Tamandua tetradactyla: one gene and its partners. The protein of the gene in region 1 purifies or fractionates together with the protein of each later gene. This does not show direct contact. Links are inferred from orthologs where the notes say so. Each region holds a gene or a part of one and is shown on either strand. Other genes may lie near its edges. The genes, in order: FYN, SKAP1, CD36 and PDGFRB.

Region 1 (7,442 bases):
ATTTAACAAAATGTAGCTCTTCTATATGAGGATTTGATGAGATGGAGGTATCACAGCAAACCAGGTATGCTAAGTACTGAAAGTGTAAGCCCTGAGATCAGTTTCTCAGTGGTCTCCCATTCTCTCAGTGAACTTTTTTCGAGAATCATCCTTACAAGTCCTGGGAGATCCACCAGAAGTTAGAAAGCTAACTGCAGGTAGACTCCCTCCAGTTTCCTGGCAGGGAGTCTCTTCTGGATACCACCCCTGCGGCATTGCTCTTTCACAAGGGAAAAAACATCAGAGAAGAGGAGGAGGAAGAGAAAGGGGAAAATTAAGGTAGCAAATGAAGGAAAAGGTTTAAGGACAGTTTATTTCTCCCAATGCAGAAAAATTCTGAAAATTCAGAAAAGTATAAAAAATAAAGGTGACCTACAATTGGATAACTTGGAGAAAATCACTGTTAAAACGTTTGTGCGTGTTCTGATATGCTTCTCCTTCCATGATAATTTATAAACAGAGATAAGTTTTAAAATAATGGGACACTGTTACATAATAGATATTACATACACTGTACATATATATGCACACACATGCTAATTTGTTGTTCACTTTTTTCTCTTTAGTTATTGAGAAAATGTTTCCACATAAATAAATAAATATCAGCATTATCATTTTAATGGCTGAAGAGTGATCCACTATAGATGTAGCATAATTTACATATCGAATCCTTTATTAATGGACTTTTAGATTTTCCCAATTTTTCACTATTGTGAGCAATGCACAATTACTCCTTCAAAGGTATACCTTTGCTGATTTGCTCCATTCTTTCCCAGAATTAGAATTGCTGGTTCCAAGGTATGTGTTTTTTTTTAATTCACCTGTTCACAGGTGCTACCAAGTTTCGCACCAGGAAAGTTGTACCAATTAACACTCTTAGCAGTAGTGTGGGAGCACCCATTTCTCTAGACCCTTTTATGTCTTTGACCAACTAGGTAGTTGAAAAAATTACATCTTTGTATTGCTATGGTTACAAGTGAGGTTGAACCTCTTTGCCATTTAGGGACACACTTCCTTTGCACATTTTTTTTTCATTTATAGTGAGTATCTTTATTTCCTTGTTGATTATGTGATAATAAGACAAGAAAACATTTGAACTAATAAGTTGAAATAAGAAAAATGCTACTTTAAAAGGAAGAGAATAAGAAATTCAGATGTGAAAAAAATAAAGATTAAAAGAGGACATTTTAGATGAAATAGAAAAACTAAAATAACCGGTACCAATCAAGTCAAAGAGATGTTCTAGAATAATGCCTAAATTCTGTTTTGTATAATTGAAGCTGTCCACAAGGAAACAAGTTAACAAAATTGAGGAGGGGGTGTGTGGATAGAAAGGACAATATGACTTGCCTGAGGGGGTCAGAAATGGGGTTGTGGATCTTGAATCGTGTTCTCTGTAGAGATCCACACACTGGATTAAAGTGAACATTAGTATCCGATCTTTTTTTGCACAACTCTACACACTTGTTCAGACCATTTGTAAATCCTCCTGAGGAGGCCAAATCCACTTAAAGCTACATTTAAGAAGGGCAGCAGATAAAAGTAGGCAAGGGAAAAATGACAAAATCAGGATGAAGTCTTGATCTGAGGAGGTCATTTAAGTCGCATTGTCTTTTTTTTTTTTTGTCCACTAATTAGATCAAGAGGCTATTAGAGTTACAGACATTAAAAAGTGGCTCCTCAGGAAGAAGTCATAAACAATGTGATGCCTGACACCACCTGCCCCAGATTTCTAATGCAGAATTCCAAGGAGTTCTATATACTAAGAGTGATTTTTCTGGGAATATGTAAGAGTTTGTCTTCTAAAAGGAGGAAGGAATGCGCCAAGTGCTTCCACATGCATTTAGTCTTTATGATAATAGCGCGAGATCAGTTTTACTATTTCCCCATTTTTATGTATGGGGATAATAAGGTCCAGAAAGGGGAAGGGACTTGCCTGTTTATGAGGCTTCTGCCAGTGCACCGTGGAGCTAATTAAGACAACTCCGCTCCTCCAGACCTGCTCTGTCCAATAGAAATAAATTGGACAATAACACATGTTATCTAACGTTCTCTAGTAACTGCGTTAAAAATAAAAGAACCAGGTGAAACTAACTTCAATAATAGATCTTATCCTTTTAACATGTAATCGATGTATAACTTAGTAGCTATTTTACATTCCTTTCTTTTTCTCGTGCTATGTCTTTGAAATCCAATGTCTTTTACACCCATGGCACACCTCAATTTGCACTAGCCATATTGCAAGTACTCAAGGACATTTCAAATACTCAATAGCCACATATGGCTAGTAACTACTGCACTAGACAGACCAGCTGTAGGGGAGTGGTTCTCAAAGTGTGGTTTCCAGAAGAGGGGCACCAGCATCACCTGGAAACTTCTTAGAGAAATGCACATTCTTAAGACCCATTACAAACCTACAGAATCAGCTGTCTGGGGGTGGGGCTCACCAATCATGTTTTACCAGGCTCCTTCAGCTAATCCTGATGCACACTAAAGTTTGAGAGCCATTGCTCTAGATAACTGCCTGTCCATTCTAACCCATATAAACCTAGGAGAGCCATGCCAGGTTAAGCACTGAAGAAGCGGAGCCCCTTCTCTTGACATAAGTAATTCTTGGTAGATAAGGTTGGCCTTCTCTTGCCTGGAAATCTTCACTTCCTGGTTGTGGTTCCATTTCTTGGAACTATGTAACGAATTACATGGAGTTTAACTTCTAATTTTGATTAAGGAGAAAACAGAAAAACCTGACCAGTAACCACCTTGTACCGCCATCACTAGTTACTTCTCTTTCCTTCAACCATAAAATGGACAGTTTGATAAACGTTTAGAACTCTTTCAAAATGTACCATGTACAAAAAGAAAGTCAGCAAAAGTGAGTGACTTTTTAAAAAAACTACATTGACCTTTTTTGTAGGCAATGAGAAGTAACATAATAGATTTTGAGCGTGGACTCAGAAGTTGATTCCCTTACATTTCTTAAGAACACTGGATTTGCTAAGAGGGGATGCTAGGGTTCTTGCCAAAATCATTAAGGAGAATGACTCTGAGCACGCCTTGAAGTAGAACGTTCAGTAAACAGGAATCACCTATAAAGAAAATCAGGAAGCCAAAGTGTTTCTTTTTATGAAGTTACATCCTGCCATAGAAAAGCTGGATAGGAAATAAAGACTGATGCACTCCCAACTGTATACTAAACCAGCAATTATTTCATCAAGGAAAATCTGAGCAAAAGCAAAAGCTCAGATTCAGTGCAGGGAAAAAAACACACGAAAAGTTTGAATGTCATGGGAAACCAAAGACAACCAGTGGCTAAAATTAACCCTGGTTCCGGGTGGGGAGTGGTGGGAGTACAAACAGAAATCTCTACCCTGTGATTGTGGGTTCCTCAACCCCCAGACTTTTTCAGCTCCCCACTGCAGTAATCCTTTCTCGAGACTTTTGCTTGAAAATAAATAGATATGTGTACCCACGAAAATGGGAAACTAATAAATTAATTCCTAACTTTTGGACTTTTTGCTACTACTGTTTATTCGTTGTGCATTTCCAGGGTTATCCCAGCTTTTCTAAGTTTTTGTGCTGGGATTCTACCTCGCTCCGCACTCATTTCACTTTGATCAGACACGCTGCTATCACCTCCCTAACATTTTCTCGTTTCATCCTCCCACCCTCACATAAAAAGACACGAGAAAAGCAAGACACTCCCTTTTCGAGCAGGTACCCATGGTTTAGGGGAATGGCATTGCAGCTGTCATTATCCCCATCCTTCCACCACCTCACCACCACGCACAAACCTTACAGCAAACAAACAAAAAACCCTCAAGTGCTCCAACCTCGCACCGGCCCGCACACCCCACACTGCACGCACGCCAGGATGCCAGCTGCCACAGTAACACTCAACCCACTCCGCGGCCCCACCCACCGCCGCCCCGCCCCCGCCCCCGCCACCAATGGTCGCCGCCCGCAGCTCTCAAAGGCTCCCTGTGATAGGGCAGCGGCGCCCGCCACTCTCGGGGTGCGTCCCGCCCCCGCCTCGCTCCTCTCCTGCTCTGGAGGGGCTGGAGCATCAGCGAGAGTAGCAGCGAGCGGCCGCGGCGGCGGCGCGCGTTGTTGCAGTTGCGCCATCTGTCAGGAGTGGAGCCGGCGGGGAGGGGGCTGCCGCGGGAGAGGAGGAGGGGTCGCCGCGAGCTGAAGGCCGCCGAGACCCGCCCGCCTGCCGGCCGCGGGAGCAAAGGCGAGGCTGCCCTCGGAGGCGTGCGTCCTCCTCCGACCCGGCGCGCGGCGCTTCTCCCGGCGCACGGAGGACTCGTCCGGCGCACACAAAGCCGCCGCCGCGCCTGAGAGGGATCCGGCAGCCCGGCCGGGGACACCCCGGCGCCGCCCCCTCCGCGCTCTCGGAGGCCCCCCGGCTCCCGGGCCCGCCGAGGAGCAGCCGGAGCCGCCCCGGCCGCGCTGGAGGAGGGCGCGGAGAGGACCATGTGAATGGGCTCCGGAGCCTGAGCGCCGCGCAGGTAAGCGGCCGGGGAGGAGCCCTGGAGGCCGCGGGGATGCTGCAGAGGCGCCGGGCCGCCTGCGCCCCTGGGCCGCGTCACCCCTGCCGCGGGGCCCCGCGCTGCGGTCCCCCTGCCGCCGCCGCCTCCGGGCCGCCTCCGAGAGTGCCGGGGAGCTGCCTGTGCTCGGGGTCTTCCCGCGCGGGAGGACACCGCTGCGGGGGGCGCGAGGGGTGGGTAGCGCAGGGCTAGGGGGAAGCGATTCCTCTCCCGGAGCGGGCGCCGGCCGAGGCTGGGTTGGCTTGGGGGCGAGGCTGGCCCAGGCTCGGGCTCCGCCCCCGCCCTCCTTTCGGTGCCCCCCGCGGGGAATGGGGTTCTGTGTGTTGTTTTAATGTCAGGGATGATGTAATCACTTAATAATTGATGCCCCGTGCTGCTTCCCTCCCCACCCCACCCCACCCCGGCCCCACTCCTCCACCTCTCGGCCTCCTCCCTCTGCGGCCGTCGCCTTCCCTATCGCATCCTCCTGCCTATTTCTGGCACCTCCCTTGCGCTTCCCCCATCCTCCTTCTCACTCTTCCTGTGCCACCACCCACCCACCCTTCCCCTTTCCCCCGTGCTGGAGCCTTCCCTCCTCTTCCTCTGCCCCCCCACCCCTGCTGGTCTTGGTCTCTCCAGCTTCTTTCTCCTCCCTTCCCCGCTCGCTGGATTTCCTCTCTACTTCCCTAGATCGATGGCTGTTTTTGTTTGGTCTCCTCCCTTCGCTTATCTCCGCGGCCACAGGCGGAGGGGACTGGGCCAGAAAGAGGCCACTGAGCTTTAAGTCCAGGGTAGAGATTTGCTGGGACTCACTAAGAAGAGGGATAATAAGATCACCCTTCTTGGCCCTCCTCCTCCCAATAAATCACACAGGCTCCCCGTTTGTGTGTGTATGTGTGTGTGTGTGACACAAAGGGCCCTTTGAGCGCAGAGAGAGGCAGTGCACAGAGTACCCAAGGATGAACCCGAGGTTTTTTGTTTCTCTTCCTTGGGGCTTCCCTTCCTCCCAAATGAAGCAGTTGGTCATCTGTCTGAGAGTCTTTCCTGCCACATGTACCAAAATATAAAAGGACCCCAGAGGCGGAGGGAGCAGGTGCCGGCATTTTGCTGTGCTCTACACTGAACCGGTAGTGTTGACTGGCAGCTGCAGTGTTTCCTAGATTTAAGGGGGAAATGATTTCAGCAGTAGTCTCGAGTTGCTTTACTGTTCGGAGGGCTACCGTCCTCACCTCCCCCACCTTTTGAGGATGGGTACCTTGATCTGTGGTTGGATAAATTGGTGTGGGGCAGCAGAATTTTGTTTCTGAATCAGATCATTAAATTGGTGTTAATTAAGAATGAGGCACCCTGACTTCCTTCTCTCAAGTCTAGGGCCACGGTGTTGTGTGTTGAAGTCTTTTGAAAGGAAATCTTGTCTTCCCAGTGTGGTTGGTACACTTACATTTAAATAAATACCTGGGGACCTTGGTAAAACATGTAGAAGTGGCATTTGGAAGAGGGCTGGAGACTGTTTCTCTTCCCTGCTTCAGCAGAGCCTGCAGACGCCCACATCCTTTCTCTCACCACCCAAGCAACTGCAACACTTTCCACCCTTTGTGCTTCTTTCTCCTCGAGTCCCTGCCTCATGGGAACTGTGCTTTCAGATGAAGGGACTCACAGACTTTTAGAGGAAGTGGTTTGTTAACTATAACTATGAACAGGGGATGTAGAAAATCTTTTAATTCTAATCTGTCTGTTTTATGTTCCTCCGAAAGAGGAAACATTACTGTAAATCTGGGGCTTATGTTCCATTTTGTAAGCCAGTGACTTACATGCTTAGTTTGATCATGTCAAAACGTAAGTTCATTCCTAAGAGCATGCATGCCTCCTCAACTATTATATTAGAATGGTCTTGAGTTTATTCTTAAAGAATTTTACCAGAAAACAGCTCATATGTCTCATTAAAGATTTGCTTCTGCACTTTTTAAGGATGTTCATCATGGAGCTTTTCATATTAGAAAAAGCAATAGGGTTAATGAGGATACTATAAAAACAAAGGGGTGTTTGTTTGATCGCAGACCCAGGAAGGAGAGTCAGTGCACAATAAACAGTTGACCAAGTTAAAGAGGCTTCATGATGAGGTTGAATCTGAACAAATGCACACACTGCTTTCTGTGCCTTTGCTCCGAGTCTGGAGTGGCTAGCCCCATCTGAGTTGCTTGGTGAAGTCCTGTTTAACCCTGAGGGCCCAGCTCAAATGTCATCTCTTCTGTGAAGCTTCCCACTCTCGCCCCTCAAAGGAATCCCCATGCTTCCTCTGCTCACACACACAACCACACTATTTTGTTTGCAAATGTTAATAGCAGGCTTTATGTTTGGCATGAATCTGTTTTCTCCATTAAGTTAGCCAGCACCACCGAGAGAAGAAACTGCTCTAACCGGGTTTCCTACCAAGTGGTACCTTAGTGGGTCCTCAGCGTTTCACTTAACACTCAATGAATGTGAATGAGGTCCTTGGAAAGTGCAAGGCACTGTATTGATTAGACTGATGTTAGCAGCTGTAACATATGGGCCCTTAAAATATAATGGCTCAAAAGCAATAGACATCTATTCTTGCGCATGTAAAAGTTCAATATGGGTGTTTCTAATCAGTGGGTGTTTTTCCTCTGGGTCCCATGCTCCAATCATGTAGTTCCACCACTCCATAGAGATTTATTTTTTATTTTTATTTTTTATTTTTTTTAAAGACAGAGAAGGAAGGAAGGATGGAAGGAAGGAAGGGAAACATCTTTAAACATTTTCTTGTTTTATTATATTTTGTTTGTTTGTTTGTTTTTTACATGGGCTGGGGCCGGGAATCGAACCGGGGTCCTCCGGCACGGCAGACAAGCACTCTTG
Region 2 (7,612 bases), on another chromosome or scaffold:
AAATTAACATTTTGGAGTATATTGTTCCTACTTCTTCTGAGACTTACAGAAACATATAATATATAGGAGTTTTAGTTTTGTTTTGTTTCAAACAAAAATAGGATATTAAACGTACTATTATGCACCATGCTTTTTAGTCTTAACATGCCATGAAAAGAAAAAAGAAACATGCCCTGGCCATTTCCCAAGTTAATATATAGAGATACATCACACATTCTTCATGGCTGCAAAGTTTTCCATATTCTGGATGTTCCATGATTTATTCAACCATCGCCTCATCCTTTCCCAACTCAAGGATATTCAAGAGAGATCCTTGTGCACATACTTCATGTACTTTAATTTCAGTAATGCAGTTTCCTAGAAGTGGAATTTCTGAGTCAAATGAAGCATTTTTAATTGTTTAACATTTTATCCTTAAGCTAAATTAGTTTTAAACCTTCAGAATTTGTTTTCTCTTCTTTATTATGCAAAATTTCAGCATTAACCTTTCACAATGTTTTGCATATTTTATTTTTAAAAGCACATGTTATGTGAAAAGCATGCTCCTGTCATTTATGCCCATGTAGTTATAAATAAATAAATGCCTGTGTTATGGCTTTGATGGTCAGCATTAAATCAGTGTGCTAACACTTATGCCTTGGTTTGTGAAAGTAGTAAGTCATCATGGAAACTCCACCCCCCAAGGCCATGCGGCAGCTCTAAAATTGCAGCTCTTACATCCTGTTACTCCCTCCAACTGAGTGACTAGAGATCAGGACCTACATATTTTCTAATTGTCAACAGTTAACCTTAAAAAGGGAGGGAGAGACAGTAAACAGCAACAGGCAATAAACTGATAGCCATTTTGAGTTTCTAGTATCCACAAATTATTCATAATACAGTGAATTATTCTGCTGACAGAAACCAGAGATTGTGTTCCATAAAAATAAAACCTATAACCAATAAATTGCTATTTTTACACGAGCCTTTCAAAAGCATATTCTTCAAACACTGAAATAGAATTACTGATTGAATCCCACTTTACATTTTTTTCTCTACTTCAGATTCAGGCTCTTAATTGCAAACTTAAAAAAAAATACATTAACCAATTAAGCTCCTTAAAATTTAACCTCAGACTCCTCATAAATTCCAAAGACCTGCGCACCAACCGAGATTGTTAAGATGCAGCAAGTTTGATATAGAAGTATGTGACATGCAATTAATCTCCATTCATACCCTGCTCTACTTGTCAGCAAACAAAGGTTCTACTTTAGAAGGAGATCTGAAGACTTCAATTAAAAAGTCAGCTAACAAGAAAATAATCCAAGTTAAAGGAAGGTGGCAGGTGTAGGAATGAGTTGTTTACCAAAGTGTCAGTTTTGAACAATAAAGGACTACACAGCAAAAATGTTAAAAGAGTGAATTTCATTGCAAGGCTCTGAAATAAAAAGAAACTTTCTACCAAGTATACACACAAAAATGAAGTATAGCTTAACAAGCTTGTAAAACAGGTTTCCTCTCAAATGCAAGATGCCAATAGAAAGAATCACGTTATATCTTTAAATGCAAAGACAGAATTAAACTTTTTTACCACAGTTTCTTCTCTCCTGAAAACCAAAAGACACTTAGAGCCTCATGTTACAGTCTAATATTGAGCCAACAGGCAACCCAACAGCAAGAGGGAAAAGGCTGGACTGACACTTCTTTTACCCTGCAACTAGTTTTCTACTCCTAAAGTTTAGATTCATTCAAATCATAATTAAAATGGATTTTGGAAATCCAAAATTTCCACACACACCCACAAAAAAGACCCTAGTTGACAGTTTTTACATAGAAGCAATACAGGATGGAAAGAGTGCTACAAATCCAGACTTGCCAAATATTTGATTAGGAGGCATTTATACCAAGATAACAAGGTAATGGAGATATAAAACCAATTAAATTGAGGGAAACTGAAAAATAGCTGCTTGCCAAAAGTATGACCTCCCAAAGCAGGCCATCTGTTAAATATGTGTCAAATATGTCTCTTAGATGCCAAAAGGCTTAATTTTGAATAGTTTCCTCCTGGGATTCCTATGCAAGGGCAGATTCCAGGCCTCTGTTCTTCCTAGAAGGTCAATTACAGGAAAGCAAGTAAAAATTACTTTCACCATGAAAAGTGTCAACTGAGATACCATATTGTATACAGCGAAGAGTCTCTTCTGGGTGCTGGAAAGAAGTATGTGCTGAGTGTTAGCATGGCCTTAATTTTTAAATGATGGTTGGACACTAGAAAAGGAAGAAATGCAATAGTGAATAGGGAATATTAGTTGGCCCTGGTTTGATAATGAGACCCTTAGAGGGCTGCAGGCTGGAGATGGAGCCTGTGGTTTCAGCGCTGCCCAAACCTCGCACTAACCACGAAGCCTTGGCCAGCAGAGGATCCCCATAAACTCCTCACAGTCCCTCTGGGGAGGCTCGGGGCCTCTAACCAAGAAGATGAGGGTCCTCTGGGAGAGGTGAAGAAGTACTGGGAGGAAGGGTGAGGGGGGCGAAAGCCTACAGGTGCAGGGCGGAGACTTGAGGGAGAAGAGACAAGTGGAAGACGAGGCAAGGTGGCATGGGGGACTAAGAATCTGGCCTGAATCCTGGGAGGTTCAGTGGTGCGTGTGTGTGAGAGAGAGTGAGACTAGAGAGAACCAGAGAGAGAGAGACTCTGAGGTGAGAGGATGAGAGCCCGGTCCTGGGGAGTTGAGAACTCTAAAAGCCTTGAATGTTCTAGAAAGAGGTGAGTGATGGCGCGGCCCAGAGAGCGTGGCCTTGGAAGCCCCGATGCCTCCTCTCCTCCCTTCAGGTCAGCGCCTGTGGGCTTCGCGGGGGGTCGAGGGAGAGGCCGGGGCTGAGCCAGGGCGTTACCTTCCAGGAGCCAACGGATGTCCTCGGGGAGGGTGGCGGCGGCCTGCATTGCGCGGGGGCGGTAAGGAGGCCCGAGGGTGAGGCGGGAGCGGGCGCGCGAAGGCCGTGCGCTGAGGCGCGGGCGGGCGGCGGGGGGAGCGCGGGGCAGCACCTGCACCCCTGGCGCCGCCGCTCGGCGGCTGCCTCCGCTCGCCCAGCCGCAGGGCGGGGCGCCGGCCCGGGGCGGAGCCTGGGGAGCCGCGGGCGCAGCCCGGGGGTGGGCGGTGCCCTGAGGCCCGCAGGTGGAGGGAAATGGGGCGGTGGGCGGTGCCCTGAGGCCCGCAGGTGGAGGGAAATGGGGCGGTGGGCAGAGCTGGGAGCCCCGCGCCAGGCAAAGCCAAAGGGTGACCGCTCCAGGCCCCCGCCGAAACAAAGGCTTTGGTCAAAGGAACCCTGTCTCTGAGACTCTCCATCCTAAGCACCGGACGGTTGGTCTCAAGGTGAGAGGATTAAAAGCAACCGTGGGGCCCAAAATAGGGTGAGGAGGAGGAAGAATCTGAAGGAGAGTTTAGTCCGAGTCAAGCGTAGCACCGTTCAACCCCCGATCCCGTCCACAACGTCCATGCCCGGGAAACTAGGACAAAACTTTCCCTCTCTCAGGCAAAGCTCCCATGCTTAAGGAAAATGACCTTAAATCCCAATAAATACTACAAAGCCACCAGCATTTGGGAGAATAGAAGTTGGAGCGGAACAGGGAGTCATCCGAGTGTCCCTTCCTCCTTAAGGCTGAAAGATGCAGGGAATGGAAGGGGTGGCCTGGGGGAAGCTGAGGGAGAAGGGTAGAGGGCCCTTCTCCTCCAAGATCTAATACGGGGAGGAGAGTGACAAGATTACAGAGAACAGTGTTCTCTCAAAGTACAATAGGCATCAATATCCTGGTTGCGATATCACACCGTGGTATTGAAAGATGTTACTACTGGGGGAAACCAGGTGAAGGAGCACAGGGTCTTCCTCGCTGTGCATTATTTCTTAAAACTGTATGTGAATCTACAATTATCTGAAAACAAAGAGTTTACTTTAAAAAAAAAAAAAAGTACAGTAGGCCAAGCACCTTGAGAAAGATGCAAGGTGCCATGGGAGATAAAAGAAGACAGATGTAAGAAAAGGAGAAAATGCAGGTACATGTGACATTTGAGGTGGGCTCTGAACAACATACGGAATTTTGAAGGGTCAGGAGGGCTGTCCAGGTGGAAGGGCCAGAAAAAACGAAGATGAGAAAGCCTTCCTTTCAGGCAGCAGCTAGTAGCTAGTGTTGGGAAACTAGGGTTGTTAAGATAATTTGAAGCTCTATTGTGAAGGACCTTGAATATCAGAATCGGGATTTTGGACTCAATTGAATGGGCACTGGGGAGCCATTGACAATTTTTGAGCTGCGGAGAGACCTAAATAGAACCCTTGTGTAGCATGTGACCTCACATACATCTCTGCACCTCTGTGGTTTTCCTTCTTTGTTAAATGGGGTTTCTATTCTCAGACTCGACCCACACAGTGTGTGGGAAGGATGGGGGACAGTAAGAGAAAGGACAACAGGAAGAGGGATGAAGTGGTTTTACAATAGCCTCAGGGGGAATAAAGACTGACTCAGGGAGGTGTTGAAGGAAACAACAAGGAGAAACCATCCTTAAGGACACATGGTAGCAGTGCAGGCCCCGCTAGCCTACTTTCCCCTGGCTGAGATACAGCCTTAAGGTTGGGGGCTTAGTCTTTTAAAGTGTGCAGTGGGGTTGAGCCATCTTTACTGTCTGCCTCCTGAGATTTGAAGAGAAAGAGTACCTTGGTTTCAGGATTATAGGCCTGCACTGCTACCACAACGGAGAGGTTGGGAGCAGAAGCTGGCTCCTTCCTGCCGCAGAAAAGTGTAGCAATGGACAGACTGGCATTCTCCAGGCTTCTGAGCAGTACCAGGTACCTCCTGAGGCAGTTTCAGCTGCCCCGCTGCTCCTTCCATAAAATTGTAGTTACTTTTTTAGTACTTAGGCAAAGAAAGGTAATGAGAGCTCTGTATTGTTGTCATAATTTTTTTTGCAAATCTACAACTGTTCTAAATTATAAAGTTTATTTCTAAAAAAAAAACAGCAAGGGAAACAAAGTTCCTCCCATATGTAAGCCCAGCACTTTGCCTTGTTTCCCTCTCAGGGATGGAAGAAACTTTGACAAACCCCATTCTGCAAGGATATTGTGTCATGTGCTAATATAGGCTACAAGCTGATAAGTTATTTGGTAAGGAGCAATACACCCAGGTAATTGTACATCCTCACAGGTTTCACTCACTGCCTGTCATAGCTTACTAAAGCAAGTGAAACAGCAGAATTTGCAACATAGGTATTTTACATCCATTCTTCCCCGCAGGAATTTCTGGGTTTTAGGAGATGGAGGTGGAGGGAGGTGCAGGTTGGGTAATGTGTGGTGGGTGACTGGCAGATTCCAATACGGTATTGTCATGTTGCATCAAGGTTCCTCATTGCAGACAGAAACCTGCCTCCGCACATGAGCGCAGCCCCTCCTTAATCATCTGAGAACCTGGTTCAGCGGTCAGCCTCATTCCTAATGACATTCTGTTAAATGGACAAATTCCTTTGAAGCCTTGTCCTTCTTTGAAATCCAATTTTGCAGGAAGCCAGATCTGATTTGGAGTAGCCATGGAAACCACACCGAAGAGTCTTAGAGGAGGTAAGGGGAAGCAAGGCAAAACGTGATAGTCAAGAGTCCTTTACTGCTTTGTCAGAAATATCAAAGGGATCTGGAGAGGTTGGCAGCAGACGCGTCCCTGTCCAGGTCCTGTTCTGTGTGGCTGGGTACCATGTGGCTGTCATGGAAGTAAGCAGCCAGCTGTCTCTGCATACTGGCAGGAGGATGGAGCAGAATACACAAATCCCAGGTCTGTCTGCCTCGTTCTTTTTTCCCTTGCTTTAGCCCCAATTCCAGCACGTTCTTACCAGACCCTTCCTAGCTGCCTGCCCCTTAAAAGCAAACAACAAAAGAATGGCAAGGTTAAAATACAAGACCCTCACTGATAAGAGGTCCTTTAGAGCAAAGGCCATGAAATTAATCTAAAATTCCTTGTAATTAGATAAGATAAGGATATCTAAAGAGATGCAGAGCAGCCAGGAATGAAGTCCGGCAGCAGGACATGCAGACAATATACCGCCTTGTCAACAAGGGCCTCACACTGTCAGCAGACAGAAGACAGAGAAAACACAGTCTATGCTGCTCTCTAAGCTGCTGGAGAATGCCGGCTGCATATTCTCATGCCAGGTGGGCACTCACTAAATATGCATCCGTGGGGCATCCAGAGGGATCAATCAGGAAGAAACAAAAGCATCTGGCACCCAGAATGGCATAGTATAAGAACAACTGCAAGCAAAGCAGGAGCCGGCTGGCACTCTTCTGCCCTGGGTAAAATGGATCTGAAGAGGAGACTGTGGAGGGCAGACTCTCAGGCTTTATTCTGAGCTGGTTATTGATCCCTGGATGCTGGGTCATGACACGCAGCGGAGCTGACGTCTGCCCTGTGGATGTGCAGCCGCTGCATCTCAGCCTCTCAGTCCCAACCCCATCAACCGAGTTTATTGACTCTTTTATTGACAATGCTGAGACCTAATGAGGACAAGAGCTGCACACTTCATTAAGGGCTGTGGAAGGAGAGATGATGCATCCTGTCCTGTAGATGCCAAGATCAGGCTCACCACATGCTTTGCAGGGCTCCAGAAACCGAGGCTCCTGCCACTTCTGAGGCCCAGGAGATGAGCACAAGATGCTACCTTGGGTCCATCACTTCAGTGCCCTTAAAATGTGGTATTTCTACAGCATCCAGAGACCTTACTCTTACCAATCAGGTAACCATTAAACACAGGAAAGTCCTATTAAACACACACACACAGATGCACTGCGGTGGTCACCCCTTTCCACTCACACTTCTAGATTCTCTGTGCTAATACAGGCAACAAAATAAGCAGGGTCTCATATCAGAACAGGGAACATTCCCATAAGCAAGCTATCGATAAGGCAGAGCCTCCGGACAGAACGAGGGCTATGAAAACTCAAAAGAATCTTCAAGGTAATCAAATTTAAGACGAAGAACAAGCCCACACCCTGTCCAGGACCACACAGCTCACAGGGAATGTACTGGCCTTAGAGTCCTGAGTCTCTTGTGTTTGTCCAAAGCTCTTGATGAACTTAGCAGTTCCTGGGCTGGATAATTACAGCCTGGGGATGGCCGAGCAGTTGTGTGAAACAATCATTGTTGATCCTCTTCCTCCTAAATAACATTTCTTTGTTTGTACTTTATCATATCTTTCTATTACTCCCCTTATTATTTTTCCTCTATATTCCCCAATCACTTTTTTTTTAGTATCATTTTTGCCTATCCCTTAGACCACATTAAACATTCCCCATGGGCACCGATGAACCCCACAATGGCCCTAAGGACCACAGAGGTTGCTGACGGTGACATTCTCTGTCTTTGATTGGTTCTCTTGGGAATGGGGGGAGGGGAAGCAATGGGAACTTGGAATGTGTCAACTGCAGCCAAATGACACAGCGTGCTCTCTGAGCGAACCTGGAGGTCCGCTATATGGTTAAACTGCATGGGGAGACAGGTGGTGCTAGGGCCAATTTTATGGTAGATATTTGCAAACATGTTAACTTTTGGAAACTGTAATGGAGTTTCTTTTGGGGGGCAAGGGTGTAGATTAAAGGT
Region 3 (7,357 bases), on another chromosome or scaffold:
TGTACTTATTAAAACTCATGATCACTCTAAAACACCTTTATTCTATCATCTCTAAAACATTGCAGAATAAGAATCAAGAAGGATACCTTGTAAGGGCATCTGCTACATTTCAAATAGGGGATAATGAAGTCCCAGAATAGAACAAATGAGCCTCCAAATGAATTTCAATTAGATTAAGGTTTTTTTAATTTAAAAAATCATGAAAAGGCTACAAATAGCCTTTTTTATTTTCTAAAAATAAAAACTGAAGAAATGTTAAGATTTATATTTCTATGAATGATAAACAAGAGCATTAAGAATGAGACTATAATATTTAAAGAAAAATCCTGTCCTTGTGTCACTTTTAATTTCCTCACTTCACAAGCACTGAAGGGCAAACAATACTTTACATTTCAGCACATTCTGGAATTCTTGGTGAGTGTAGCCAAGCTGTCTCTTATGTCCCTTCTCTAATGCTTGCCAAATTTCTGTCATTTCCTTCTTCAGATTATAGTGTTTGTGGGACAAAGGTTTCTGGTTCTATTTCAAAACATCTTAAACTACTTACCAGTGTACCTCCAAGTACCTAAGAGTGTTTTTTATTTTCTATATGACTTAAATTTGAAGACAGAAAACAGGGTTTTCCCTACTACCCTTCTCTATGAAGAAATAGCTAGAAAGCTCATGGAGGAACAAATGGCACACTAATTGCCCTTTGTAAAAGAAGAAAGTTTCCAGTGGTTAGCCAATTTCTGGACTTCGACATACAACACACAAAATAGAAAAACTAATTCTTTATTAAACTGTATTATTTTTATGTTCCTGGTGCACTTACACTAGTCTTAACGCTATTTCTTTTTCCTGAAGGACAATTTATTGTTTGTGATTGAGAGGCTTATTTTGGGCTAGGCATTATTTAGAATTCCTTTAATCTAATTCTTGCTCCACTCTTCCTCAGTCACTACTCATTCTGGATCACTTCTGTCAGGTGGCAGTGAAGTGGTAGCACAATATACAATTCTCTTCCAAAAAGCAACATGTGATCTTAAAGAAAACAATATATACAACTGACCAATCAAGACATTTCCTTTCCCTCATTTCTCATTTTACAGTATTTCTTTTCAACTGCAAAATTTTGTGAAAATGATTTCAAAGACTTTAACTATGAAACTTAGCTTATAAATGCTAAGAATGCAGATTAAATTCTTTAAGTTAGAAATCTAAATCAAATACCAGCAATTTGCACCAGATGTGAAATGAGCCAGAGTCACATCAACAGCCATATATTTTCATGCTATTTCTTTGCTCTAAGAAAAACATTCTCTTCCATTTAATGCAGTCTTATTCATTGATTTATCATAGCCTTAAAGCTTTTTTTCTGCATTCAAGAGCTTATCTTTTTTTCCCAGGTGAAATTGTTTTGCTATCCTCAGGTGTCTGCTTTCTTAAACTCTCAGAACGATTAATTACAAAGTTGTCGTCCTTTACAAAAGGATCCGATTCCAAATAATTAGTGTTTGTGTTTTACATCATTTGAAGATATTTCTCTACTCCTCGTCAGGATTACAGAAATCTCATAAATTTCCCCACAAAAGTATGCCTGTAGAAGAGTTTTAAAAGGAATATCAAGTTGTTTAATGTTTAGAAAATTAAGCCAGTCATTCTAGAAGAGAAAGGGAGAGTTTGTTCTCATTTCTATTAATCTCATCCAGAACTGATCTGAATTCTCAGTTCTCTCACAGAGAGTGAACAAGAAATTAACATTTTTAAAAGTATCAGGCTGGAATGTTTTCCCCAGAATTCAGCATAACTCCAAGCAACCATTCCCCAAATTAAAAAAAAAAAAAAAAAAAAAAAAAAAAAAAGCAGTCTTCTCTTAATGGTAAAGAATCTTAGACAATTCTTTCCCAGGCTTTGAGTGTCAAAGGGAATTGCCCCCCATCCCCCATTTTTTTGTGTGCGTTCCTTTTTTTGGATCAACATTTAATTTTGTCTCTTCATAAGTATAACTTTAAATATACTTTCTGAATATGTCACTATAAGGTTACCTGGTGTTACATGATATGAAACATACCATGTAACAAAAAATTATGCTATATAACAAGACCCTCCTGAAATAATAGATACCCAATGCCCACTGTCAACAATTTCTTTGACCACGAAATAATCAGTGAGTCTTATGTATGCCAATACTTTTGTTTTCTTCTTTCTAGGAGTCACACTGTTAAGAGGATTTTAGAACATTTCTTCATGTCTACCTTGATAACAAATCAAAAAAACATTTGAGAATCCCATGAATGAAAGTCATCCAACTTCTAGTCTCACTAAAAATGTGCTTTTCAATTCGGAAAAAGAAAAGTTAATGGGCCGGAATATTAGAGTATCTTCTCAAAAGGCAATATGCAAAAGAGCCTATATGTAGGCGGACAAAAATTTGAGTTAGGTAAAATAAGAAATCCATCAAGATTAAGACATGCCAGATCAACTTAGAGGACCTGAAGGGCTACCAATTTCAACTAAAAATACACTTTGAGAACTTAACAGATGTTTACTTTGTTGCTACCTTCTAAATAAAAGGCATGTATACATATATGCAAATGGAATTTCACAGGATGAATTTAGAGACTTGTGAAAAGGTAAAATTTAAGTGTTAAAAGTCTGCTTTCAAAAAAAAAAGCCTACTTTCTTCCCATCAATCTAGTTGAGAAGTTACAAATACAGTAGAAGAGGGATTGTAGATTAAATTCTTACATCAGAGAGTATTTATCTTCTTAGAGAGTTTAAGAAGGATTATTATTAAGTAATAGATTATAGTACATCAACGACAGAGACCTTTAGAGCCACACCCCTAAACAAAAAAGAATTCTGCTCACCGACTTCTAGAGAAGCTTGCTTGCCCAGATGTAGGATCCCAAGGCTAGCTTCAGAGAGACTGTTGTAAGGAAAGACGCAGAAAGTAAACACTTGCAGCTGAGAACTCAGAAATAAAGCCCAGAGTGTTGCTCACTCTTCTGTCTGCAAGGATAGCTCGACATCTGAAAGCCATTGACATCCTGAGACTTCCAGCACTTCGGACGCATGTCTGACATGAGATAAATATAGATCCCTGACACCTGAGCCATATGAAATGAAAATTAACTCAAAAAATCTCACTCATTTTGTGCCTCAGTTGAGGAAAATAAAAACCCTTAATCCTTTTCCTGCTAAAACCTGTTATACTCTTTAGCACATACCTGCTGTGCTTATGAAAATAGAAAATTCAAATAATCAATCACTGGCAGTTTATCTAATTCAGCAATCAATTTACTTCTCTCTTTGATTACCACTTTTGGTGATATGGTAGCAACTATCTGAAGTTTTCCTTTCAGGATTAAGTACAAAAGCAACATGAAATCGTGAATATTGGATATTATTTAAAGTCAACAGGTTTTTGTTTCAGTAGCTTTTTGAGGGTGAGTCCTTGAAATGTGAGTATCTATTTGATAAGTTCTCTTGGTATGTTTTCTCCGTTTATATCTTCAGTAGTAATTTCATCTTTTTTGTTGATGTTTGTCTCAATTATTTGGGGCAGGAAGTGCCATGCCAAGGTGCCATGGTTTAAAAGTTTGTGTTTTTTATCCTTTTGGTAAGTTGCACAGTGCAGCTGATTTGAGATTGAAGTTTGCCTAGAACTCTAGTAAACATATAAATGAAGCTCTAACCTAGTCCTGAGCAGACCCTGCGAACAAAGTTACTACTCTGAAAATAAAATGGAAAAAAATTCTAACATATCACTTTCCAGAATTCAGATATTAAATATCCCTATTTCTATCTTCAAACTGGTAAGCTGAGAAACCAGGGAAAAGCTGTTATGCTTTCCTGATATTGAGGGTGGAGGTGGAGGCGGGTGGGGAAGAAATATTTTCAGTTAGTATCTTCTCTTACAGAATGGCATTAAAGTAAAACCATGAACTTTGGAGTTTTCTTTTCCTGAATGGAACTGGTTTGTAACCAGCAGTATTAAGTATCTCTGAAAAAAAACAATGGCTCTTTTGCCAAATTACCAACACCAGTTTTCATAGTATTGTAATAATAAGTACATTTATTGAGTATCTGATGCTGTGCGACATAGGTATCAAGCTATCTTATTCTCTTTTCCTAATCCCCAAATAGCCTTTCACTTCAAGTTAAAGAATATGTTAGGCCCCACTTTAAGGAAAAGAAAACTGAAGTGTGGAAGGAGGAGTGCTGACAATGGACACAAAGTTAATGCATGATTCCTCTGAGAGTCAAACTCACCTAATTTTAACTTGAATACAGGTTTTTTTTTCCCATTTTAGAATAGAGTGACCAGTTGAAAATTAGTTCCCATCTACCCTTTATTTGTATCAGATTAGCCATTCGATGAGCATTTCCAAGGCTTCTTTTTTTATTTATTAATTTGAGCAAACTTAGGGTAAGAACAGAAATGATCCCTCAGGAGAATTTCTATGATACCAAGAAAACCCCAGATGCATCATGCCCCTGGCACAAGAAAAGGATGGAAGTTTATGTCACAGCTCTAACCAAGAATAGCTCCACAACTGCAGTTGAACTGCATTTATATTTTTCAACTTCACCTCTTCAACTTCCTCTTTTCTTTTACTTCTCCAATTTATACAAGCAGAATTTGACCTGCCTTAGCCTGCTGCCCACCTGCTCCCCACTGGGGCACCATGTTAGCAGCAGGAGGTCTGAGAAGTGGTTTCAGTCGCGGCCGTCCAGGTGGAGAGGACTCAGCCAGTCCGTCGGGTCACACGGTCATCACTGGAGACATCTACCTGGGAAGGAGGGCCGCGTGTTCCTAAACATCCTAGAATGGAACTCTTCTCATGATGGAAAATAAAATGTCCCAAGTGTATAAAAAGTTTTTCTGGTACTTGAACAAGGCCCTTGTTAAACTGAGTGTTTAATCAAAGAAGCATGAAGACAAATGTTAAAAATTCAGTGAACAAAGCTATAGATATTTTCCTATAAACCAAAATAAATTTTTTAAAATGTCTGATATTCCAAGTACCAGCATCTCAGACTGTGGATTATGTCCTACAAATAATAGGAAATCGTGAATTTCTTTTCGATGTATGTGCATTATCATATACCACCCACTGGGTGGGGGGCAGTGAGGGAGGGTGGTGGGTAGTGGTGGGTTGACTTAAAAGAGACCATCTGGTAACTGAGTAGGACAGGACTGAAGTTCCGCTCTACCCAGGCAATCATAAGAAATCACTCTCAACTCTCTTCAGAACTGAACATTTCATCACAGAGCACCAATTAATACATCTAGGACCTTTTTTTCCCTAAGTGCCCGCCTTTCAAGTGCTTATGAAAATAAACTTTGAAATAGGCAAAACCGAAACCTCCTCTGGCCTTTGCTCCATAATGAGTGGCGTAGTGTTAAGACATTAATGTTGAACCAGCAGTCGTGCTGCTAATGACAGCTGTTGCCAGCTGTTGATAAAATGTTCCTCAGATGACATTATTGCAAAATTTCCCTTCCTGTGTGGAAACTGTTTTTCTTGTCAGCAATTAAATTCATCATACACATGCTAGACATCATCAGTACAGTCACAGTAATATACTCATATTTCCTTTCCTTCCTAACAGCTCCCCAAACCTGTTTCTCTGATGCTTCTGGATTCTATTCTTCAGCAAGTACTATTAACAGCTTTCATTAAAGCTGAAGTATGACATGTTGAATATGTTTAGGACTTTAAAATTAATAACATGATTCTTTAAAAAATTCCTTCCAGGAAAATCCAAATTTAAAATTGAATATTTGCGCTTTATTAGTATAACACTGCCCATTGTAAAGGCTTGAATCCCTGGCTCTGTAACATAGCAGGGAGGGTACTATTCGTGGTTTTCTAAGGACAATTTAGCATAAACCTCTTAATAAACTTGAAAACAATGAGTAATACTCACCAAGACACTTATACACATTAATCTTGTTAATTATTCTTACATTTAGGAAAAACATTCAGAAAAAACTCTTGATAATTATTGGCTTGCTTAAAATGTGTATTTAAGATAAAAAATATTGAAGGGCTAATTTAAAGCTGATTCTATGAGCACACTCTCATAGAGTTCTCAGGGTTCTCTGTTTATTTGTTTGTTTTACTTATTTGTTTGCAGTGTATTTTAGTTTCCTGGCTGCTAAAACAAACACCATGCCATGGGTTGGCTTAAACAATGGGAGTTTATTGGCTCATGCTTTGAGGCTAGGAGAAGTCCAAAATTGAAGTGTCAGCAAATGGAAGCTTTCTGCAGAAGACTGTGGCACTCTGGGGATGGCTGCTAGCATTCCCTGGTCCTTAGTTTTTCTGTCACGTGGCAATGCACATGCTGGCCTCTCCTGGCTTCTCCTTGATTTTCATCCTGTTTATAAAGGACTCCAGTAATCTGGATTAAAGCCCAACTGAATTCAATGGGACCACACTTTAACTGAAGTAATATCTTGAAGAGATCTTATCTACAAGCAGTCTGCACTCACCAGAATGAGGACCAAGAATAAAAACATGCCCAAACTGGGGTACGGAATTCAATCATGAACACTCATTCTTCAGTTAACATAAAAGAAGGTATCTAGCTCAGTGGTTAGCACAAAGTCAGGTTCAAAACATAAATTCTGAATGAAAGACTGAATAATAAATGGATGAGTGAGTGAATGGAATTGAGCCCATATGAACACAAGTAAGCAAAGTTATATTGCAATATTAATATATCTGTGTAATATAGGCTATCAATGGGAGCTTTCACAAAGCCATCCTGTGGGGGTGGGGTGGGGTGGGGTGGGGGGAGTGGCAAATATTCCAAGTAATGCCTTAGGGACTGAGAGCCTGGGAAGATACTTCTTACAAAGGACCAAAGGAAACTGAAAGAACCCAGTACAAAAAGGAAAAATAGTCATGCATGTTTTACAAAAACCTTGCAAGAGTCTTGCACACAACTGGCTATGAGTACAGAGTTTGTAACCTAATGGAAACTTGGGTCCCCCTGGACCAAGAGCAAATAATATCCACAGGACATAAAGTCCTTCTTCCAGCACAACAAAACAACAGGCTGGCAGCCAATTATGGTAGCAACCAAGCAGATGTCCCACTGGTTTTTAAATCAGACGCAGAGCCTTAGTGTGTTAAAATTATTACTGCCATGCTGCAGCATGTTTATAGAACTTTGCTTGATGTTATCAGCTAATAATCAGACAATTCTCATGAACTTTCTTGGAGACAGATTGTGCAAAGCATTGTCTAGGGAGCTGTGGCTCTATCCTCTGCAAGAGAAACATGGGAAGATTAATTATTATAATTCTGAGTCGATCAGAAAGTCAAGCTCTCCAGTTGCGATCTGCAGCTCTCACATC
Region 4 (7,103 bases), on another chromosome or scaffold:
CCAGAGCGGAGACGTGGGGCCTGAGGCTGAGCACACAGAGGGTGTAAGCAGAGCCAGGGCAGCAGCCGAGCCTCCTGACTCTGAATCCGCGGTGCTTTCCACTGCCCTACATCTGTGGGTAATTACAAGTCCCAGCTCGTCCTCCCAAGAAATGGCTGTCATCCCCAGAGGAGGGAGGCCTGCCTGATAACCACGGTTGTGAGAGGAGCGGCCTGTCCAGATGGGCTTCTTCCCCACTCAGGAGCAAGCCAGGGCCCAGGCGGGTCTTGGAGCAGAAGGTCAGACCTGAGACAAGACTGAAGTTGCGGGAGGATGGAGACTCTCTCCCTCTGGCCGGGGCCTCCCTGCATAGCATGGGGCTTTGGATTCGGGTAGACCACAGCTTAAATACCAACCCTGCTAGGTGTGTGACCCTGGGCAAGTCACTTAGCTTCTCTGAGCTCGGTATCCTTACCTACAAAACAGGGCTAAAATCAACACTGATCTCAAAATCCTCACAGGCCTGCTGTGAGGATTGAGGCCTGTGAGGTACCAGACTCTATGCCTGGCACGGCGTGAGTGCTCCATGATGAAACCAACACGCCTGATATGTCCACAGATGCTCCTGCCTCCTGCTCCGAGGAAGGGGAGGGCTATGAAGAGCTCTTTGGAGGGAGGCCTTGTGCGCTCTGGGGCTCACAGGCGTGGGCAAGGACACCCCTCCCTCCTTGCAATGGGGAAATGTGGCATATAGGAATTACGTGCTGGACACTTAAGGGAAGGCAGGAGGCCTGGGTTCTGGTCTCCCACTTGGGAACAGAAGATCTGCAGCCAGTCCCTCCTCTCTTTCAACAGCACGTTTTCCCAGCCCCACTTCTGCCCAGGGCTGGGCACAAGATGGGGAGACCTGAGGCTGGCACTTTCTCTTTGTTATGAACTGAACACAAACAAGAGAGGGCCAAGCGGGTGGTCCACGGTGGCTCAGCCGGCAGAGTTCTTGCCTGCCATGCCGGAGACCCGAGTTAGATTCCCAGTGCCTGCCCATCTAAAGAAAAATAAAAGAGAGAGAGAGAAAGCCAAGCAACAGGGTTCCAGCACAAAGTACAAGACAGTTGCTTGGGAGTTCAGAGCTGAGAGTGACCCAGGGACCGAAAAAGCCAGGAAGGCTGCATGGAGGAGGAAGGTGTAGGGAGTGGCCTTGAAGGAAAAGTGAAGGTGATGAGTAAAGGCCTTCCAGGTAGGGGGAAAGGGGAGAGCAAATGCCCACAGGCAGGATGGTATAAATTCTTTCTGGGGAGCCTGTGATCTGCTTGGCAGGAACAAAAGGCCCAGATTCAGAGTAGTGAGGGGGCTACCACCTCTCCACTCTCCACCATCACTAGCTCATGTGTGGCTATAGTTATGTGGCTGCTGTGAGCCTCATTTCCTCATGTGTAAAGGGGAGTTTAAAAACAGCTCCTGCTTCTGGGGGCTGAGTGTTGCACAAGATCATTTTCATAAAGCCCTCAGCACAGTGCCTGGCATACCCCAAGTATCAATCAGTGGCAGCTGTTATTAGGGGCTGGGGTTTTCTACAGGCCCTGGGGAGCCACAGAAGGATTCTGAGCAGGAAGCTGGAGGGATCAGATTTATGTCTTAGAACGGAGCGGAGAAGGAGCGGAGCTCAGGAGGCAGACGGCGAGTAGGCCTGAGCAGCCGACTGGCACGGGAGGAAGGGTTTTGCCAATCAACCCCCTCTTCACACGGGGACCCCCAGATCCGACAGCCAAGCCCCAGCCCCCAGTCCCAGCCACGCAAACAGTAGGCTGGGGCCCCCTTTGCTACCCTGCCCTCGCACTTTCCCAGCCCCTGGGGGTTTGGAAGGACATCTTAGGAATCCGGAAAATTTGCAAATCCATTTAAATCCCCAGAGGTTGCCTGGCGGCCGGCTGGAAGAGAGCCAGTCCCATTCTTAGGGACAAGGCTTGGGCCTGGGGGTAGGGGCTGGGTGCCTGAGGTCCATGTACCCTGTTTGCCATCCCCCAATTCCCCTCTCACGCCCCTCCCAGCTCTCCCTACCCCCCACAGATGATGCTGTGTTTTGGAGGCCCCAAGCTGCATCCCACCAGAAACCACTGGAGGTTGTTGTTGAGGAAGGGGCAGCAGAGTTGCGGAGGCAGAGCCCACCCCGGAAGCGGCCTGAGCCGGGAAAGGAGATAACGGGCTCCTCCAGCCCTGACATCACCTGCAATCTCTCAGCCTCCTCCCATCTGGTTTTGTTAAAAATATTTTTCTTTTTCTGACCTACAAGGAGGTGCAGGATGGAGCAAGGGGACAGGGTAAGGGGCTACGGCTACCCCGTCTCAGCACTTACCTGGCTCTCAATGCCTTCTGGTGTGGACAGAGTCCCAGGTTCTGGGCTGCCACCGCCTCCAGGAAGTCCTCAGTGCCCTCTCCCTCTTATTAGGAAGACTGGTAGAGTGGAGACAGGGCAATGGGTGGGCAGAAAGGCAGGCAGGGCGGCTGCAGGATCCAGGAGCCTCTGGACAATGAAGGAGTGGGAGGGCTGCAGGGGTGCAGAGCAGCCCAGCTTCACCTCACTCCCAAAGCATCCTTCGGGAGGGGCCGAGCTGCCAAGAGGGGCCGCCCTGGGTCTGGCTGTTTGCACTGGGCACGGTGCAGGCTGCTGTCTGGCGGCTGGTCCGAAGGGGCCAGGCTCACTCTTTCTCGTTGTTGTCCTCTGTGGCTCTAAGTTGCTCCCGGAGCAATCCCACGTCCCAGACAGGGCGGGCAGGGACTGCCGGGCCACTGGCAGCCCCAGGAGCTCACACCACTGTGGGCTTCCCTGCCCCCCCACTTTAGGGGAAAGGCTGCAGGGCGGCCTCCGATTGGCCCAGCTGGGAGAAGGGGGGAGGCAGGGCAGGGAGGGCGGACGCGTGCGTCTGTTTTCAATTTCACGTTTTTTTCTCTCTCTCTTTCTTTTCCCCCAAGTTTCTTGTTTTTCTTCCTCTTTTCCCCTCTGCTTGCTCCCTCCCATCTCACTCTCTCTCAGGATGTGAAGGGATGTTTAGAAATTCCGCAGCCCACACCAGCCAGCCGCTGAGTCACTTTTATTAAAGAGTGGCCCAGCCCCACTTGCCTATTGCCTGTCACGGTGGTGGCTCCTCTTGCCATGGCACGTGGAGGCAGGGAGGCACATTCTCTGTGCCTCAGTTCCCCCTCTGTAAACGGAGCTCTGGTGAGCCATGTGGGTGATTCTGCAAACAAGTATTACTGAGCACTAATGAGCCAGGCGGGGAGCAAGGGATGAGATTGCAAGTAAGACACAGGCTGATGGGGAGACACACAGTGATCAAGCAGGTATCCCCGGGAGGACAGGGAGCTAAGAGGGCACCTAAATGGGGCCTCCGGGAATCGGGGAGTACTTCTGAGAAGAGATGGCTTGGATTATAAGTCACTTATCAGAAGAAGAAATCAAGGCCCAGAGCTAACTTGGAGCAGAGAGGGAAAGCACACATCTTCAGATCTCCAGATGTATTCTTCCTATCATTTCAAAGCCTCTGGGGGGAGGGGCAGTAAAAGACTATTTGTCCCATTTTACAGATGAGGAAACTGAAGCCTAGAGGAAGAAAATGAGCTGCCCAAGCTCACACAGCAACAGCAGAACTGGAGCAGAACTGGTCTGATGAGCCATGTGATTGAAGGGGCATAGGTTATCTGATCCTAACATACATTTCAGAGTAGAACAGTTCTCCTGCTCTGCCTTCTTCCTAGGTTACCCCCTCCCTGTCTCTCTTTAATTCAGTCAAAATTAACAGATATTTTTAAGTAGCTGGTATGCTCTACTTCCAGCTTCCCTACCAGGGACTGCTGAGGCTCCCTGGGTCCCCTGGCTAGGCCTCTCACCTCCCACACTCTTCTTTTACCTTGGCCTCCTTGCCCTGACGATGTCTCTAATCACTCCCTCCTAGCCCTTAGATGCTAAAGGGCTAACAGTTTAAGAGCATTGCATTGAGCCCATTTTTGCCCCCACTATTTGTGCACATGGGGAAACTGAGTCCCAGAGAAGGGAAGAAAGGAATCCCAGGTCACACAGGTAGAGCTGATATAACCCAGGGCTCCTTCCCCTCTGCCCTCTGTACCTCTGCCCACCCCCTTCTCCTCCTTTCTCCCACCCAGCCCCCTGTTCCCAGGGCAGGGTTTTGTTTGAGCTGGGATTCCACGCCAATGATGGTAATCTGTCTTGTGATCATTCTTGGTCCTATCCCAGTAGGGATTGCCTGGCCTAGCATCTGGACTGGGCTGCACGGAGAGAGAAGAGTCCTCAGGCTGGCCCCATGCCGTGGGGTGGGGAGGCCATGAGAACCTCCCAAAGCCCAGGGCTTGGTGGCAGCAGAATTTTAGGGGAATGTAGGGGGACCCCAGAGATCACAGTGTTAGACCCACACAGGACTCTTTATGCCCAAAAACTCTCTGAGGAATTTGCGGCTCCCCTTCTGGAACTTGCCTAACCATTCATCTCTGAATCCTTGGCCCAACTGCTGGGACCAAGACAGCTGAGGGGGTTTAAGGAGGCATTTCAACTTCCTAGTCCCCATAAAAGCTGGCCTGGGAGTCAGGAGACCCATTCACGTATCTGTTAGTTGACCTTGGAGAGGTCGCTTGTCGTTCCTGAGCCTAAATTTCATCATCTGTACATAACAGAGGTGAACTCGCTATACCTGAAAGCCCTAGGTTTGCTCTGCTGCAATTTCCCTAAGAGCTGGACTCTGGCTAGGGAGAGGCGGCTGATGAGCCCCGGGCAGGGGGACAGCTGGGGGCCAGATATGTAGCGCAGAGGGGAGGGGGCGGCTGGTGGTGGCTCCCTAGGGAAGCTGGCGGCCGACAGTTTCCGGCCAGCCCAGCCTTCCGCTGGCCCATCTGGAATCATTTAGCCCCTACCACCATTAACCCTTGGTGGGCACTAGGGCTATGGGGCCTCCTCTCAGCTGAGAAGGGGTTGGTGCTAAGCCACATGGAGCACCACAGGGCACTTGCTGAGAGCTGGACAGTTGATGCCGAAGGGTCATAAGAAGGCAGGCTTTGGGGCCAGAGACAGACCTGGGATCAAATCCCAACTTCTCCACATCTGAGCTATATCACTTAAATTCCTGAGCCTCAGTTTCCTTATCTGGTAAATGGAGAGAATCCAAGGACTGACTCATAAAACCCTTGCAAATTAGCACTGCACTTAAAAGGGTTTAGTACAGTGCCTGGAAGTATAATTATTGAAATAGTGAATTTCCCTCATTTGAATTGCCACCAATTACTGTGTGTGCCTAGGCTGAGCCCTCTCTTCTCTGGGCCTCAGTTTCCCCTTGTGTACTCTGAGAGGGCTACATGGTTGCCACAAGGGGAGCTCAGCACTGACATGCCAGGGTGGTCAGCATAGGCTCAGCCCCATTGCGGACAGGACGAGCCACAAGCATTCCCCTGCCTGCCCAGATGCTGGGAGCCCAGCCCACCCAGCTGATGGCTTCAGACAAGACTGGCCTGGGGAGGGCTGGGCTGAGAGTGGGTGGGCAGAGTGTGGAGCACGGGAACCCTGTTCCATGCTGGGAACATGATGGGGAGAGAGGTACAGGGGAGAGGAGCCCTGGGCCTTGGGTTCAGCATCTCCCCTCCCCGCAGCACCCTGGTACTGCTCAAAGGTTGAGTTCCAACCCAGCTCTGCCACTTCCTAATTGTGTGACCCTGGCCACTGATATTATCTGAGCTCTCTGAACCTCAGTTTCCTTACCTGTAAAGTGGAGATAAATGTGCCTACTTTACAGGGCTGTTAAGAGACCTGAATAAGCCACATCCAGAAGGCGTGTGAACAGAGGACTAGAGCAGAGTGAGAAAACTCCACCAGCGGTGCCTGATTCTCAGGGGTCACCAGGAGCGGCTGTCACAGAAGTCCACTACCAGGGCTGGAGGGGAACGTGTTCAACCCGCTCATTTTACAGCCAGGATGACTGAGGCCCAACGAAGCAATTTTGCAAGGCCCTACAATGTGTCACTGGCAAAACCGAGCCTGGAACCACAGCTTTTGCCTAAACTCTGAGGCCCAAGCTTTTCCCTGAAGGAGGGAACAGGGCTCAACTGACTCCCCTCCTCAGACCCCCACCCACGCTTGTCAGAGCCGGAAGCCACAGCTCTCAGTGGGGCAGGGGGAGGAGGGTGTCCGGAAAGGGAGCCTGAGTGGGAGAATTCCCACCAGGCCGGCTCAGCGCTCACTCCGGCAGGGCCAGCGGCCACCACATCTGGCTCTCCCACGCTCCCAGACGCGGCCCCACCCCCACCGCACCCACACTCCCCAGGCACGGGCCAAGGAAGCAACACATATGTCCCAGGCATCAGTGCCGTCACCTTGGATGCCAGGGCCTCAAGTGCTCCAAGAGCACAGCCACTGCACAGGCGTGGGCATTGAGGTCCCGAGCATGGAAAGAACCTGCCGGAAATTAGCAGGGAGAAAGAGACCTGGAATGCAGGACTCCTGACTCCAGCTCAATGTCTTTTCATCCTTTCATGCCCCGTGCAGGTACACCCCTGTGCCTGCAGCCTACCGCCACAAAAGGCACAAAGTGGAAGCTACCCTCCTTCTTATCCCCTGGATACTCAGCTTTTTCTTTTCTTTTCTTTTTTTAAAACTCGGAGCTTTAATGGTCATTTAATTGAGCAACTTAAGAGTCCACTGTCTACAACAAAGACCTGTGGCACAAAAAGACTCCAAACAGGAAAAAAGTTTCCATGGGGATATATATCACACAGCATCGGTGCCCACTGCCTGGACACTGACACTGCAGGCTGGATGGGGCCTTAGTCCTTGGAGACCTCAGGCCATATTCCCACCTTAGGTTCCCAGGGCTGCCCTTAGTGGACAGACGGCAGCCACCAAGGCCTGCGAGGGTTGCAGGAGGTAAGGGCTTTGAGACACTGCCCACCTAAGCCTCTCCCCAGCCTCTTAGGTGGCCTCCACTTCGGTGCTCCAGGACCACAAGGAACTGGGGCAAGTCCTTCTGGTACACACAGATGGCTCAAGGATCCTTAGCACAGCAGGGCCCAGAGGCCACACGTCTCCTCCTCATTGGACACACTAAGGCCCAGGAGGGCCAGAACGTGCT

What was found.
Region 2: the proteins of FYN (region 1) and SKAP1 purify together in Homo sapiens (affinity purification with western blotting; 3 studies listed by BioGRID and IntAct, with this or other methods). This does not show direct contact. The link is inferred for Tamandua tetradactyla from reciprocal best matches to the Homo sapiens genes FYN and SKAP1.
Region 3: the proteins of FYN (region 1) and CD36 purify together in Homo sapiens (affinity purification with western blotting; 3 studies listed by BioGRID). This does not show direct contact. The link is inferred for Tamandua tetradactyla from reciprocal best matches to the Homo sapiens genes FYN and CD36.
Region 4: the proteins of FYN (region 1) and PDGFRB purify together in Homo sapiens (pull-down; 3 studies listed by IntAct, with this or other methods). This does not show direct contact. The link is inferred for Tamandua tetradactyla from reciprocal best matches to the Homo sapiens genes FYN and PDGFRB.

Annotation. Positions count from the first base shown.
Region 1 is NC_135331.1:170,731,394-170,738,835, reverse strand, and holds the start of FYN (tyrosine-protein kinase Fyn), read left to right. Parts: upstream 1-4,431; 5' UTR 4,432-4,547; intron 4,548-7,442. UniProt on the Homo sapiens protein: Non-receptor tyrosine-protein kinase that plays a role in many biological processes including regulation of cell growth and survival, cell adhesion, integrin-mediated signaling, cytoskeletal remodeling, cell motility, immune response and axon guidance.
Region 2 is NC_135332.1:29,701,550-29,709,161, forward strand, and holds the start of SKAP1 (src kinase-associated phosphoprotein 1), read right to left. Parts: upstream 3,005-7,612; 5' UTR 2,924-3,004; coding exon 2,875-2,923; intron 1-2,874. UniProt on the Homo sapiens protein: Positively regulates T-cell receptor signaling by enhancing the MAP kinase pathway. Required for optimal conjugation between T-cells and antigen-presenting cells by promoting the clustering of integrin ITGAL on the surface of T-cells.
Region 3 is NC_135327.1:137,120,454-137,127,810, forward strand, and holds the start of CD36 (platelet glycoprotein 4), read right to left. Parts: upstream 3,018-7,357; 5' UTR 2,853-3,017; intron 1-2,852.
Region 4 is NC_135346.1:30,946,850-30,953,952, forward strand, and holds the start of PDGFRB (platelet-derived growth factor receptor beta), read right to left. Parts: upstream 3,020-7,103; 5' UTR 2,333-3,019; intron 1-2,332. UniProt on the Homo sapiens protein: Tyrosine-protein kinase that acts as a cell-surface receptor for homodimeric PDGFB and PDGFD and for heterodimers formed by PDGFA and PDGFB, and plays an essential role in the regulation of embryonic development, cell proliferation, survival, differentiation, chemotaxis and migration.